Linked DNA regions of Stegostoma tigrinum. The protein of the gene in region 2 interacts with the protein of the main gene of each other region in a pairwise test. Links are inferred from orthologs where the notes say so. Each region holds a gene or a part of one and is shown on either strand. Other genes may lie near its edges.

Region 1 (7,014 bases), on a different chromosome or scaffold from region 2:
ATCTTATCAAATGCCTTTTGTAAGTAGAAATACACTACAGGTTCCCCTTTGGCCATGTCAATTGTCATATCCTCACAGAACTCTTAAAATATTTGTCAAACATGATTTTCCTTTTATAAAACCATATTGACTCTGCTCATTTATATTATGATATTGTAAATATCATGCTGTAACTTCCTTAACAAGAGACTTCAAAATTTTTCCAATCACAGATGTTAGACACAAAAGCAGAAATTGTTGGAAAAGCTCAGCAGTTCGGGCAGCATCTGTGGAGAGAAATCAGAGTTTGCATTTCAGGTCCAGTGACTCTTCCTCAGAACTAGATGTTAAACAAATTGGTCTATAGTTTTGTGTTTTTAATTTTCCTCCCCTGTTTAATACAAACAGTATATCTGTAGTATTCCAATGCCTGGGCCTGTCCAGAATCTAGAAGACTGTGGAAGATTACAAACTTGAACCAAATTTCTCCAGTTAAAATTTCCATCCTATTTAATGCATGGCAACAGGGCCCACAGTTCACTGCAACTAAGTCTGAAAAGTAAATGATAGCGTAGTATAGCATTCACAGACAGGCATTAACCATAATGATGGCATCATAATTGCAATTTAGAAAGATAGATATTTTGGAAATTGATGCCAAATCATATATTTCCGTCAGATTCACTCAATGTAGAATCCTAGATGTGTCTTCCCTCTTTAAACCTGACTATGTCAACTTTCCCATTGCCACACTGGTGAGTTTAACTAATGCTACAGAAACTACGATACAAGGACTTTCTCAGTTGTACGTATGGGCAAGTTCGAACTGTCATTATGAAACCCTGTGCGCAACTTTATGTTATCTTGATCCTGTGTTGAAGTTGCCTCACTTTAAGTGCTTATAAACACCAACAGTCATGGAACCAGAACACTGTTATGCCTTCTTCTATCCATTGTTATTCTTGCTACTTTGATTCTTCCATTGAGGTCTGTGTCCATTTAAATAGACTCACTGGAAGTAGAACCCTCATCTTCACACTGATGGTAAGAAAAATAATCTAAAACGTACATTTCAACTTTTGAATTTAAATACATATTTTACGTATGCAATCTAATTAATATATTTTAAATTCCTTCTACCAACAGCCAAATCTTCAGTTTACCACTTCTTCCCCTCTTTTTTATTATTACTACTGCTATTACTGGTTCCCACCCCTGGTATCCTCCTCATCAATGCTCTTGATTCATTACTAGGAATAATGACTCAGGCAGCAGGTAAGTACCAAATGTTATCTTTCCAAATTTATGATTATTTTTGCGAGCCCTAAGTTGACGTAGTGTTAGCCTCACAGTATGCATCACACCTAAACTGAAATGGTTTCCTTACCCAGATGCCGATAGACAGCAGGAAGTAGCATAAACTCTAGCCAGTGCTCTTGATCAGCATTGATTTTCGCCAAACAATAGTCCGAAGACTGAACTCATTGCTTTTTAAGTCCCAGTTACAATCTGATCAACACCAACTTTCTGCATGAGAACTGTATGATGCTTAATCAAACAGTTTGCAACCTTGATTTCATATCAGTTTGTTCAGAAACGGCATCATGTCGAGCTCCTCAAAAACCTGACTTTATCTCTGAGCTCGCTCTCCAATCTCATCTCTCTCGCCCACTCCAACCGCCACTGTAACTCCACAATTATGCTTCAGTTCGTCTCTTTGGTCACAAAACGATTCAAAGCCCGTTCAAATAGGCCTCTAATTTCCCGTTGCCACGGTGACGCGCGGCGGTGCTTCTGTCAAAAATCCATTCCGGGGTCCCCCGAACGCGTGGAGTATTTGTGCCATCAACAATGGTTCCGTTTTCTTTGTAAGATGTATATTTTGTTCAAATAAATCAACTAAACACAATACATGTTGAAAATAAGTAGCAAGAGTGCTGAGAGAATTCATCCTTCTTCTTAGTCGTCTCAGTGATTATCATCCATAATGATTCTCTCAGTTGAAATGTATTTTAATTTTATATCGATTAGCCCAAAGGTTTTACGAAAGGATCTTCTATTAAAGGTTAATTAGACAAATATTTGAAAAAGGCAGTAGCACAGTGCTAAGCGTCTTTGCCACTGGGCCATTAGACCTAGATTCAAGTTGTAAAGAAACGCTTAAACAGGTTGATATAAAAATCAAAAACTGAGTTGTACTGGATTATTGGGTCTTTTGTTTTGGTGGTTGATTCTTAAAATATACGCAGGAGATAAGTAGTTTCTTGATTGGTAAGGGGATCAAAGATTACGTGGAGAAGGCAGGAGAATGGGTTTGAGAAATGTATCAGCCATGATTTGATGATGGAGTAAACTCGATGGGCCGAAAGGCCTAATTGTGCTTATAGTCTTATGGCCTATAATTCCTAATTAGATAAGACAGGGAGCTGAATTTTAACACTTTGACCTATCCCCATCATTTTGGAGGCGGAGAGGAGGAGTGGAGTGAGGCTACACTTACAGACCTCCCTCTCTCTCTCTCTTCGCTAATGTTCAGGCTGTTTGTATTGAATTGTTTAGAGAGCTGCTGGTCTGCACGTATCCACAATGTGACTCCAATCTCTGTAACAACAAGGATATGCTAAAGATCCAATTTTTAAAAAAAATACACAAAGACTTGCTCATTGATGAAAAAGCACTTTACGCATTCACACGTTTTCTGTTTTGGGTCCAGATTTCCCAACAATGAACCCTTTGCCAGTAAGTGATCATTTCCAAAAACAGCGGAAAATGCGTGAGAAACTGCAAGCATCAGCTCTTTTGCATGTTCTTCTCCGTTTAGGTCTGCAACAGAATACTCTCTCACAGAACTGGGATGTCATTTCTTTCACTGTGAATACACGTGTCAAAAAGGTTCAAGTTACCCCCACCCCCGACAATAAAGGCACGTCCCTCAGCATTTATTTTAAAAGTGCTCATGAACGACCATCCATCATCTAACCTTTCGTACTTCAAACAGAAGATGTTTGGCAACACTCAGCGGGATAGGCAGCGTTAGTGAGGAAAACAGTCAATGCTTTGGTTCCGTAAAATTTCATCAGAGCTTCGCTGAGATGAATATGTTTTCTAAACCTCGTCGTGTGCGTTCAGGTTTCAGTTCATTTCACAATTTACAAGTAGGAAAAAAGGCTCTGACTGGAATAATAAAGTATCCAGTTTTATCGAGTCTTTCTTGATAAATTATCGTACGTTCTTGCGTGGTGGAAAGGGAAATGGAAGACTGCTGATTCACAGCGCAGTGAGATGTATTTTACTATAAAAGGAATACACAACTCATTTATAGGCACTGGGTATTTCCTTCCATGTACTTTTTCTACAACGCCCGCAATAAATTACAACGACATTCCTGTTACACAAACTAGGAAAGTCGCGTGAAGTCAGAATGAATAAGCAAACAAGCAGAAAGGGAAGAACGAGCAAAGCAAATTTAATTCTTGAAATTTAACAAAGAAACAAAGGAAAAGACCGAGCGAAAGCACAAAGAGACAAACTAAACGTTGTGGTAAAAAGTGAAAGGATTTTTAAAAAAAGCTCCTTCAGAGAAATGCAAAGACAAGAAAAAAAGTTCTCATGATATGATTAATATTGACAAAACGACAAGTGTGTCATGAAAGGAAAGGGCGTAAACGATAGCAGTTCTTGCTGCAATCCTCTACTCATACTGCTAGATAATTTGCATAATTCGAGTTCGGTTGAAAGGCCACCGACCCAAAACGTTAAATCTTGTTTCTCTGCCCATAGATGCAGCCTGGCCTGCTAGGTACATGTAGCGCTTTCTGTTCTTTTTTCTTTGTCTTCTGGCACCTGTAGAATTCTGCTTTTGCAAATCATCGCAGTTACAACAATGGACCAGGTCCCGAGGAGGTGAAATCCAAGTTGTGGGACAACGTCATTTTAAAAACAAAGGACAGGGGAAAAAGTAAAAGAGAAATCATTGTAGCAGCTTTCGGATCTTCGAATTAGAAGGTTGCTGATGATGTCTTTCGTCTCCCTTTCAGTGGATGTAGAAGTTGCTGTTGCAAGGAGACATTGGAGTTTACCTGGCCAATGTTGTTCAAAAAAATCTAGTCGTCATCTCATTGCTGTTTGTTGGACTTTATTTGGTGGCACAAAAATGACTGCCATATTTGTCACAACACATTTATGGCATATTTAATGCCTCACCATACAGGACATCCTGATGTTGTGAAAGGCATCATAATGAAAGTTACCTTTTTCTTCATCAATTGGATGGATTCATTATTACATGAATTTTGCTTCTTTGTAGGTAACGCCACTTTTGTTACTCAATTTGCATGTAACAAAAAAAAGAGTTTGAAACAAAAACAGAAATAAGTGGACAAACTCAGCAGGTCTGGCAACATCGATGGAGATGGAAACAGAGTTAACATTTCAGGTCCAGTAACCCTTCTTCATAACTGGACCCAAAATATTGGCTCTGCTTTCTCTCCACAGATGTTGTAAGACCTGCTGAGTTTCTCCAGCTATTTCTATGTCTGTCTAGGATTTCTAGCATCAGTTCTTTTTATTATTTGAAAAAAGGTTTTCTCAACTCACTTTGTAAAGGAGATGTGTAGCTGTTTTAAAATCAGTTAATCAAATACCCCAAATTAAAACAGCTTCAAGGATGCCAGCCCCTTACAAACAAAATGTGTGTTTAAACCACACACTGGGAGATCCCTTTTCTCCCCAGGTGGATTGGTTGATCTCAAGTAAGACAACAGTAAAAGTGACACTGAAAGATTCAATATCTCTGAAATAGTGAGTGGGAAAACACTGTTGCCAGACCTTGTTCACTAACTTGTATTCCATGTAGGAATAAATACATATTTGGATATTGAATGAAGACAAGATTGACTTCAGCTGGAAGATCTCCCTCTGATCATGTTGACTGCCAAAGCTCGCAACCTTGACTCATACATGAAGAGTACATTTGCAGAATACTCAAGAGCAGCCTTGTTCGTGGTGCAGGGAGACCAACCCATGGAAGCAATTCCCATTCCACCTGAGGTCATCATGCAGGCCCCAACTTTGCAACCTCGCCTGCAGCCTGTTGACCCTCAGGTTAAATTAAAACACCAGTCACCTCTCTATTATGAGAGAACAGCCTATGGTCCCCTGGGACTATGTGACTTAGACTTCACCTCAACATAATTCAATGGCTTTGAGAGAACAGAACAAAATTGTAGGAAATGGGAATCAAGTTAAGAATTTCCCTTTTACTATTAGAATAATGAACTGGCTTTTTATTAAAATTACTTAGATTTTTTTACTTGGTATAAATGTCATTTAAATTGAATCACTAACAATGGACTTTGAAAATTAATAGTAAATGACTAGTGCAGACAGTTAGGGAGAACAGGCACTTTTTATAAACTGACAAAATAAAGCAGAAAGATTGGAGAATGCAGGGACAAAGACCCAGCTCATTGTCCAGCTACACTGTTAATTGCCCTGAATATATTAAAGACCTTGGTGTACAGGGTGTTGCGTTAGAATTTGCAGAAGTATTGTGTGATGTAAGGAGAATAGTATAGAATTTCAAGAGGACATAGACAAGTTGGTGGAATAGGTGGACAAATTATGGATGAATTCAATTCTGTAAGTATCAGTGATTCATTTTGGTAGGAAGAACACAGAAAGACACTACAAAATAAAAGGCAAAATTTTGAACAGGATGCAAGAATAGAAAAAACAGGGTATATCCGTATATAATTAATTGAAGCAGGCAAGACAGGTTGAAAGGGTAGTTAATAAAATAACTGGCATCCTAAACTTTATTAATGGTGGCAGGAGTATAAAGGATGTTATGTTAAACTTGTATAAAATACTGGTTCAGCTTCAACTTCAGCACTGTGAGAGAGATTGCAACAAAGATTCACATGAATGGTACTGGGAATGTGGAACTTCGGTTATTAATAAGATTGGAGATGTTGGGACTGTTTTCCTTTGAGAAAGGAAAGTTGACAGCAGATTTGGTAGAAGTGTATAAAATCAAGAGGGATCTGGACAGAGTAGAGAGGAAAAACTGTGGCTACACATGGAAGCAGAGTACAATCAAGAGCATACAGGCCTAAAGTATGTGACAAAAGAAGCAATAGAAGACAAAAAGAAACAAAAAAAATTTGATGAGGAGGAATTTCTTGCCTCAGAACAGAGTGAATCTGTGGAATTCTTTACCACAAAGGGCTGTTGAAGTTGGTTCATTAAGTATATTCAGGCTGAGATAGATTTTTAATAGAAACTGAATCAAAGCTTATAGGGAAAAAAACAGGAAAGTAGAGTTGAGGATTGTCAAATCAAAAGCAATCTCATTGAATGTAAAGTGGACTTGATGGGTTCAATGGTGTACTTCTGCTCTGAGGTTTTATGGTCCACACAGCAAATGGCTAAGAGGTGGAATTTACAGCCCGAAAGTATGTTGAAGGCAGGTGTAAGTGATGCATTCAATAAGGAATTGATTAATCTGAAAAAGAAGAATATGAAGGTTTTAGCTAACAGCCTGGGAGATGGTATTAATTACTTAATTGGCAAGCTGCTGGGTATAAAATCTCATTGTTCTCATTTCATGAAAGTAAAATGAGTCCAACAAAGCCCAATTGTGGGGGCCAACCTCCTGTTTTTCATAACACCTGAAAGATGTAATCAGAAAGGTGATGGTTACATTCTCTCTTGTTGGAAATTGTCATTGCCATGCATTTGTGTGGCATAAATGTTACTTGCCTGTTATTAGCCTAAGCCACGATTTTGTCCAGGTCTGGCTGCATTAGGACTCAGAACCTTCAGTCATTGATGAGGCTGTTTAGAGCTAGGACATTACCCCGGGAACTTCTGCAAAGGTGTCACTGAATTGAGATTAAGATCTCTCAAGTAATCAAGGCTGAATAGGTTTATAATTTCTGATATTGAAGTAGACACCGTGTGTAGATAATCTCAAAGCATATGACTGGCACAGGAGAAGAATACGCCAAAGACTGTCAATGCCAAAACAGAATG
Region 2 (7,668 bases):
AAACACCTGGACATTGGCCAACAACTGCAGTGAAGTATGAGTGCGTGCATCTCAACAACAACTCTTGTGAGGCACTGTGGACCAAGCTCTGTCCAACACTGAGCTGCAGTTCTCACTACACAAGCAGCACGGATAATGTAGTCAAAACAGTGTGCATGGAGGAAGTCACTGAATCAAGAAACTTGTGTGGAGAGAGGAACAGTTCCTATCTACAATCTGGTCTAACTCTTGTTCAAAACTGAAGATGCTGGAAAATGCTGCTTTTTATGTTGTAAACAGAAGGGGAGTAAGAATGAAGGGAACAGGTGATGAGGATGCAAACCCAAAGGCAAAGGCCAAAGGAGCGATTGAAATGTCAAATGGGTGTTAATGAAGGCATGAAATGGAGAAAATGTCTGCATTGCTCTGAGCAAAGTCAACAAACACAGCCATATGGGCAAATTGAAGAGAACTGGAGAAAGCAAAACACGGCAGGATTTAGGTAGTTAATAGGGCCCTGGGGAATATTGTCAAAACAGAGGTTTAGGCACTCAGTTCCTTGAAAGTGGAGTTGCAGGTAGATGGGATAGTGAGGAAGACATTTGGCACACTTGCCTCCTGTGGTCAAAACATTCCCCGGGGTCCAATCATTAACATATATGTCTGCCCAGGTTTGCCTTACGAGCTTGTAGCAACTCATATTAGGAGAACTGTTATCATGGTATGCCACACTCATCCTAAGACCTGCTTATCCACATATAGACTAAAAAAGTCAGATGGGCAAAGGTAACTAAATAAAAATTTCAGAGAATGCTTTCAGGATAGTTTCTTAGAACAGCATATTCTGGAGCCAACTGGACAGCAGTCTGTGATTTGCAAATGTGCCCTCGCCATAAGTTACAGTGACTTCTGCAATTAAAAGGTATAAATATTAATTTTGCTATTAATTTGACAGCACAATTTGACCACTATCATCACGTGGACCTTAGATTCACAGAGAAAAGTGAAACTTCTATTGTTGTGCCCCAACATTGTCTTTATCCCTACAATACCAAAGTTGTACATCCATATTGATGTAAACTTTGGCTGTGCTGCAAAAAAATGGGGAGCATTTCCTGCACATATGCAGTTGCAGTCTCAGTTGTGTTGGAGGGGTAAAAGATGAAATATGAGAGAAGTTTTTTTTAAGATATCTATAAAGAAAGGGAGGCATGAGTGGACATTGAACCACTGGAAAATGAGGATTGAGAAGTTGTAAAGGGGAACAAAGAAGTGGTGGAGGACTTGAATAGGTACTTTGCATCAGTTTTCACAGAGGAAGACATCAACAACATACCAGAACTTCGACAGTTGGGAAGAGAGGTGACTGTAGTTCCCATCACTAGGGAGAAGGTACTTGGGAAGCTGAAAAGACTGAAGTTGGATAAATCACCCAGATCACATGAACTACATCTCAGGGTTCTGAAGGAGATTCTTTTGTTATGTGTTTTGAAAGAAATAAGTGAGGAGATTGTAGTGGCATTAGTGGTGATCTTTCAGGAATCGCTAGAGTTGGGAAGGGTTCCAGAACACTTTAATACAACACCTCTGTTTAAGAAGGGAGGAAAGCAGAATACAGGAAACTATGGGTCAGTTAACCAGATCTCGGTGATTGGTAAGATTTTACAATCCATCATTAAGGATGAGATTGCAGAGTACTTGGAAGTGTATGGTCAAATAGGGCAGAGTCAGCATGGCTTCATCAAGAGGAGGTCATGTCTAATAAATTTGTTAGAACTCTTGAGGCAGTAACATGCAAGTTAGGCAAAGGAGAGCCAGTAGACATGATCCAGTTGAATTTCCAGAAGGCCTAGGGCAAGGGACTGGCATGGATAGAGGACTGGCTGACTGGCAGAAGGCAGAGAGTAGAGATGAAGGGCTTTTTTCAGCATGGCAGCTGGTGACTAGTGAGGTTCTGCTGGTTCAGTATTGGGACCACAATTATTCACATTAAACATTCATGATCTAGACAAAGGAACCGAGGGTATCGTTGCTAAGTTTGCAGATGACACGAAGATAAGTGGAGGGACAAATAAGTGTTGAGGAAATGGAGTGGCCGCAGAAAGACTTAGACACGCTAGCCAAGTGGGAAAAGAACAATGTGGTAAAGTGTGAGGTTGTATATTTTCACAGGAAGAATAGAGGCGTAGACTATTTTCAAAGTGGGGAAAGGCTTTGGAAATGTAAAGCACAAAGGGACTTGGGAGTCCTCGTTCAGGATTCTCTTAAGGTTAACATGCAATTCATCTGGTTCACTAATGTCCTCTAGGGAAGGAAACTGCCATCCTTCCCTGGTCTGGCCTACATGTGACTCCAGACCCATAGCAGTGTGGTTAACTCTCAACTGCCCTCTGGGCGCTTAGGGATGGATGATAAATGCTGCCTAGTCAGCGACGCCCTCATCCCATTAATAAAACAAAGAAAATAAAAATCTGGTGGTTATGAAGGCAAATACGACATTGGCATTCATTTCAAGAGGACTAGAAAAGAAGAACACAGATGTACAGCTGAGGCTGTATCAGGTTCTGGTCAAATTGTATTTAGAATATTGAGAGTTTTGGGCCCCACATCTAAAGAAAGATGTGCTGGTATTGGAAGGAGTCTGAAGGAGGTTTACGAGAATGACTCTGGAGATAAACGGCTTATCATATGATACAAGGTAAAGGAATTGCAATGTGTACTCGATGGAGTTTAGATGGATGAGGGGAGAACCTGAGTAAATTTGGAGGAGTAGACCGGACATAGAGAAGACGTTCCATAAGCAGGGGAGACTATGACCCGAAAAGGTAGCCTCAGGGTGAAAGGACAGCCTTTTAGAACCAAGGTGAGTAGGAATTTCATCAGCCTGAAGGTGGCGACTCTGTGGAACACGTCGCCACAGTCAGCAGTGCAGGCCAAGTGACTGTGTGCCTTTAAGATATAGATAGTTTCTTGATTAGTAAGAGGATCAATTCAGGAGAAAGGGGTTGAGAAACAGATCAGCCATTATCAAATGGTAAAGCAGACTCAATGGGCTGAATAGCTGAGTTCTGCTCCAATATCTTATGGACAGAGTGTTGAATTAAATTGAATACTCTTTTTCAAGATGGTGGCAATAGCAGGAAGAGAAGTGTTTGGGCTCTGTGTCCATACACTCCCATTCCCATTCACCTGGCTGGCTGTATTCTTTTTTTGTTTCTTCATTTCTCTTTTTTTACTCAAAGTTCACTTGTTTACTGTGGATGTGGTGAAATACGGCGGTAGCAAGAGCCTGCTGCTGCAACTGCAGCATGGTGAATCCGGATGACCGTTCCTTGTGGCCATTGCTATATCAAAGGCATCATTGTTGATGGATCTGGTCCATTAATCCTGGTGGCAGTGGCTATCGTCGTGGTGGCATGGTGGTTCCAGTTAATTCCTCTTGATTATGGCGGCAATGTGGTCATTTTGGGTAATCACTGAAGTGGCGATGGCTTGAGCGACAGATCCAGTGTTGGCAACTTAGTGGGTCCAGTCTGTCCCTCCTTGCTATGGCAGTGATGCAGTGTCCTCAGTGCAGGGTTCGATAGTGGCAGCATGGGGGTCGGTCTGGAAATTCTTGTTTTGGCAACTTCAGAGGTGGCTTTGGCCATGGTGTCCTATTGCCACTTCAGAAACCCAGGAGCAAAAGATAAATTTTGTCTCAATTATTTATTTTTATAATTTTTGTGATTAAAATGGCACCAAATTGTGGTGACTAATAAACATCTCACTGTACTTGCACAATTGCAAGTGATGGTAAATTGTTCTTCTCTTCTATTAGCTTAACAGATTCACCATTCAAGTTCCCATTTCACGTCTGTTCAGCCCCTAACCAACAGCAAATTCTCATATCCAGTCTACCTCTTGTTTATCAACTCTTTCCTTAGGAAAAAACAGTGCTTCTGATGAATCAGTAGATGACATCTAATCAGGAAATTTCAACAAATGAAATTCCCAACAAACATTAATCTAAGAGATCAGATAGTAATATTTAAGGACATCTTTGTATGAATGTGATCAATTAAAGTGGGTGATCAGTAAAGAATGTAATTTTTAACTCAAACCTTTTAAAATTATTAAATTAAAATTTCTTAATAAAATGTCACATACCAGACTTGTTTGAATGTTTTATTAAATCAAGATTTCAGATCTGTAATGGTAAATTAAAATTTCTTCCTTTGTTCAATTTCGGCTCCATTTTCTTTCAACAGTGTCTGCAATGAAAATCTGTCAAATTTCTGATTTTAAAATACCGATTCATATTACAATACAGATAAGTCAAAATAATTAGGTTCAGATTTTTGCCTTAGCAGAGATCTGGTGAAAATAGCAGAACTGCTGGATGATCTCGAATTCTGTCCTAGTACAGGCTTCGTCGGAGGCTCACTGATGATGTTACCTAGAATGGTGACGAAACGTCTGAAAACGAACCTTCCAGCTCAGCGAGCAAACTCACATCCAGAACCTCAACCTGAGCTACAAATCTTCTCAAACTCGCTAGGGGTAAATTGGGTTAGTGGCCGTTTAAATCAGCAGTAACAGGTGGGATTTTCTGAAGAAGGCTCTAGGACCGAAACGTCAGCCTTTCCTGCTCCTCTGATGCTGCTTGGTTTGCTGTGTTCATCCAGCTGTACACGTTGTTATCTCGGATACAACACTGGCTGTTTCCAACAATGTTATGGAAGTGGAAATTACCTTGGCAGTGACGCAGATATCAGCTGCTTTCTAATTACAAATACACAACGGCGGTGTTGTTTTACCTTACAGGTCAAACTGCTTGAGGCGAGGTTAAGAAGGCAGGACCTTCTTGATAATCTCAGCCCATGGGGGGGATTGAACCACCCTGTTGGCGCCACCGTGCATTGCGCCGTCCAGCTAACTCAGCTGGTATCCGTGATACCAACATCCTAATTTCACTCCAAAGTCTGCTGTCATTTTTAAAAATATATCAATTAACACAAATATTGATAGGTTCGCCATCGTTACAATCAGTTTGTGCCTTTCTCGGTAGAGGAAGGTAAAAGAGAATTGGAATAATCGCGCTCCAAAAACGAACGATTTTGACCCTGCGGGCTCCCCGTAATGTTAATCCCCCTCCCGTGGATTGACCGTTGCTGTAAGGGTTGCGGCGAAGTCTCGACGAGATGCAGAATCCCCACCAGTTCTCGGTTCTCATTACCTCCTGCATCAAAACCCCCGTAAATCCGAAGACCAGGATACCCTCTACTCTGTACGAGAGAAGGAAAGCGCCGACTTTACGAAACAGCCAGAAACCATCTGTCGCCGAGGAGGTGAGGGCCTTGCGGTTGTTGTGTGTTTTGCGGGGGGAGGCGTTTACGTCACTGATTCATGGCGGCCACGTTGTCAATGGTAACGAGGTCGGCTGCTCGAGCTGAGCTTTGGGTCCAGGGTTTGCGGTAATGTTTTTCTGAAAAAAATACTCAAGAATGAACACTGTTCAAGTTAGTGTGAATATTCTAGCCGCTTGTGTCTTGGAGCAATTTTTTTTTCTTAATATTTGGATTGATTATGCCCCGGCAACAAAAGTATTCGCTTTCGTCCCCCTTTCTTTCAAAGGCAGCACTCATATTCTATCGCCGCAGTTTTATTTGTAGAATCTGGCAGTTGGTTTTTCTCCCACTAATTTTAGACGATCGGAATCAAGTGTAAACTATTCGAAATGGTCAGGGTTTGATCGAATATGTGATTAGGGATTTCCATGATGATTATTGTGTTTATTGAATATGGCATTTCTTGGTAATAAATATCGTGTATTTTATGTAATTTTGCTCAGTGGATCAGGAGCTGAAGTCATAGAGTTGTACAGCACGGAGACAGACCGTTCAGTCTAACTCGTCTATGCTGACCAGATATCCTAAATTTATCTACTCCCATTTGCCAGCATTGGGCCCATGCCTATCTAAACCCTTTCTATTCATGTACTCACCCAGATTCCTTTTAAATTTTGTAATTGTCATTACTGATGATATTGCACCATGTCAGAGAGGGTAAATTTACCAGGGTTTGGCTCCAGGAGTTGTCTCTCACTTATAGTTAGGTCGTTCAAATTTAGTCTGTGATCAGCAATACAAGAGTGTGATTTTAGGTGAGGCAGGTATGGGGAAACAAGAGATAATGGGAACTGCAGATGCTGGAGAATCCAAGATAACAAAGTGTGAAGCTAGATGAACACAGCAGACCAAGCCTTCATCAGAGGATCTAGGCCCGAAATGTCAGCTTTTGTGCTCCTGAGATGTTGCTTGGCCTGCTGTGTCCATCCAGCTTCACACTTTGTTATTATGGGGAAGCAAGATACAGCTTTTAAGGAGCTTCAGTTCATGCAATTCTCCAACAGTTATAAGGTCTTTGAAATCAGCTTGAACCAGAGTGGAAACTGCAGGAAGGATGAGCAAACTAATAACAACATTGTGGTGCAGGGAGCCATTAATGTGGGTGAAGGAAATTGAAATGGAAATACAGGAGCAGTGGGAAACAGTACAGTTATGGGATAGATGCTGTTCTTCTTAGCTTGAGTCCCAAAGGCTGTATTGCCTGCCTGGTGCCAGGGTTAAGGACTTCTTTAGGCTGGAGAGGAATTTGGAATGGGAGGGGAGGGATCCAGTTCTCACTGTGCAATGTTGGTAACAAAAATATTGAAAAAACTGGAAAGGAGTTCTGCTGAATTATCTTCTGATATTGAACAGTTAGGAGCTAAACTAGAAATAAGAAATTCAAGATTCTGAGCCATAGCAAACTGACATAGGGTTAATAAAGTCAGAGTTAAATGCATTTCTTAAAGATTGGTGTTGGAAGAGTGCGTTTCAGCTCATGGGGCACTAGCACCAGTTTTGGAACAGAAAGAAAACGCCTTGTTGGAGAAACGCAGCAGGTCCAGTACCATCGGTAGAAGGAGAAATAAAATTAATGTTTTAGGTGTGTTATTAATTTCTCCAGTATTGAAAGGAGCTAAGAATGTTTTTTTAATGCTGTGGACTGACAGGGAGGAGGAACAAGCAGAACAGATTGTGAAGGCACCCTGTGCAAAAGTTGAAGGCAGTGATAATGATAGTAAATGAATATAAGTAAGTAATATGGATTTAAATGACAGCTGGTACAGTGACAATACAGTATGGAGCTGGAGGAACCCAGCAAGCCAGGCAGAAGAGCAAGAAAGTTGACGTTTCGGGCCGGGAGCCGCCTTCAGAAATGGGGAGGGTGAAGGGAGCTCAGAAATAGAGAGAGGAGGTGTGGGGCTGGGGAAGATAGGTGGGATAGTGATAGGTGAGTGCAGGTAGGGGTAGTGGGGATTGGTCAGTGGGAGGGGAGGGGCAGATAGGTGGGAGAGAAGATGGGCAGGTTGTGTCAAGTCAAGGAGGCAGGGGAGGGTTGGACATGGGATGACGTTGGGGTGGGGAAATTTTAAAACTGGTGAATTCCATGTTTAGGCCTCCGGGCTGTAGGCTACCGAGGCAGAATATGAGGTGCTGCTCCTCCAGTTTGCGGGTGGTCTCATTGTGACGCTGCAGAAGGCCCAGGATGGACATGTCACCAAGGGAGTGGGAGGGGGAGTTAAAATTGTTGGCAGCCAGAAGGTTGTGTATAGAGCACAGATGCTGTACAAAATGGTCTCAGAGCTGACGCTTAGTCTCC

The links. The genes of interacting proteins can lie anywhere in the genome.
Region 1: the proteins of fam161a (region 2) and ccdc57 interact in binary tests that used the Homo sapiens proteins (3 or more experiments, as listed by UniProt). The two-hybrid records come from large-scale screens. The link is inferred for Stegostoma tigrinum from reciprocal best matches to the Homo sapiens genes FAM161A and CCDC57.

What each region holds. Positions count from the first base shown.
Region 1 is NC_081375.1:27,668,040-27,675,053, forward strand, and holds the start of ccdc57 (coiled-coil domain-containing protein 57), read right to left. Parts: upstream 3,001-7,014; 5' UTR 2,960-3,000; intron 1,781-2,959; exon of another isoform or gene 1,367-1,780; intron 1-1,366. UniProt on the Homo sapiens protein: Pleiotropic regulator of centriole duplication, mitosis, and ciliogenesis. Critical interface between centrosome and microtubule-mediated cellular processes. Centriole duplication protein required for recruitment of CEP63, CEP152, and PLK4 to the centrosome.
Region 2 is NC_081362.1:40,580,727-40,588,394, forward strand, and holds the start of fam161a (protein FAM161A), read left to right. Parts: upstream 1-4,652; 5' UTR 4,653-5,162; coding exon 5,163-5,309; intron 5,310-5,357; exon of another isoform or gene 5,358-5,465; coding exon of another isoform or gene 5,466-5,480; intron 5,481-7,668. UniProt on the Homo sapiens protein: Involved in ciliogenesis.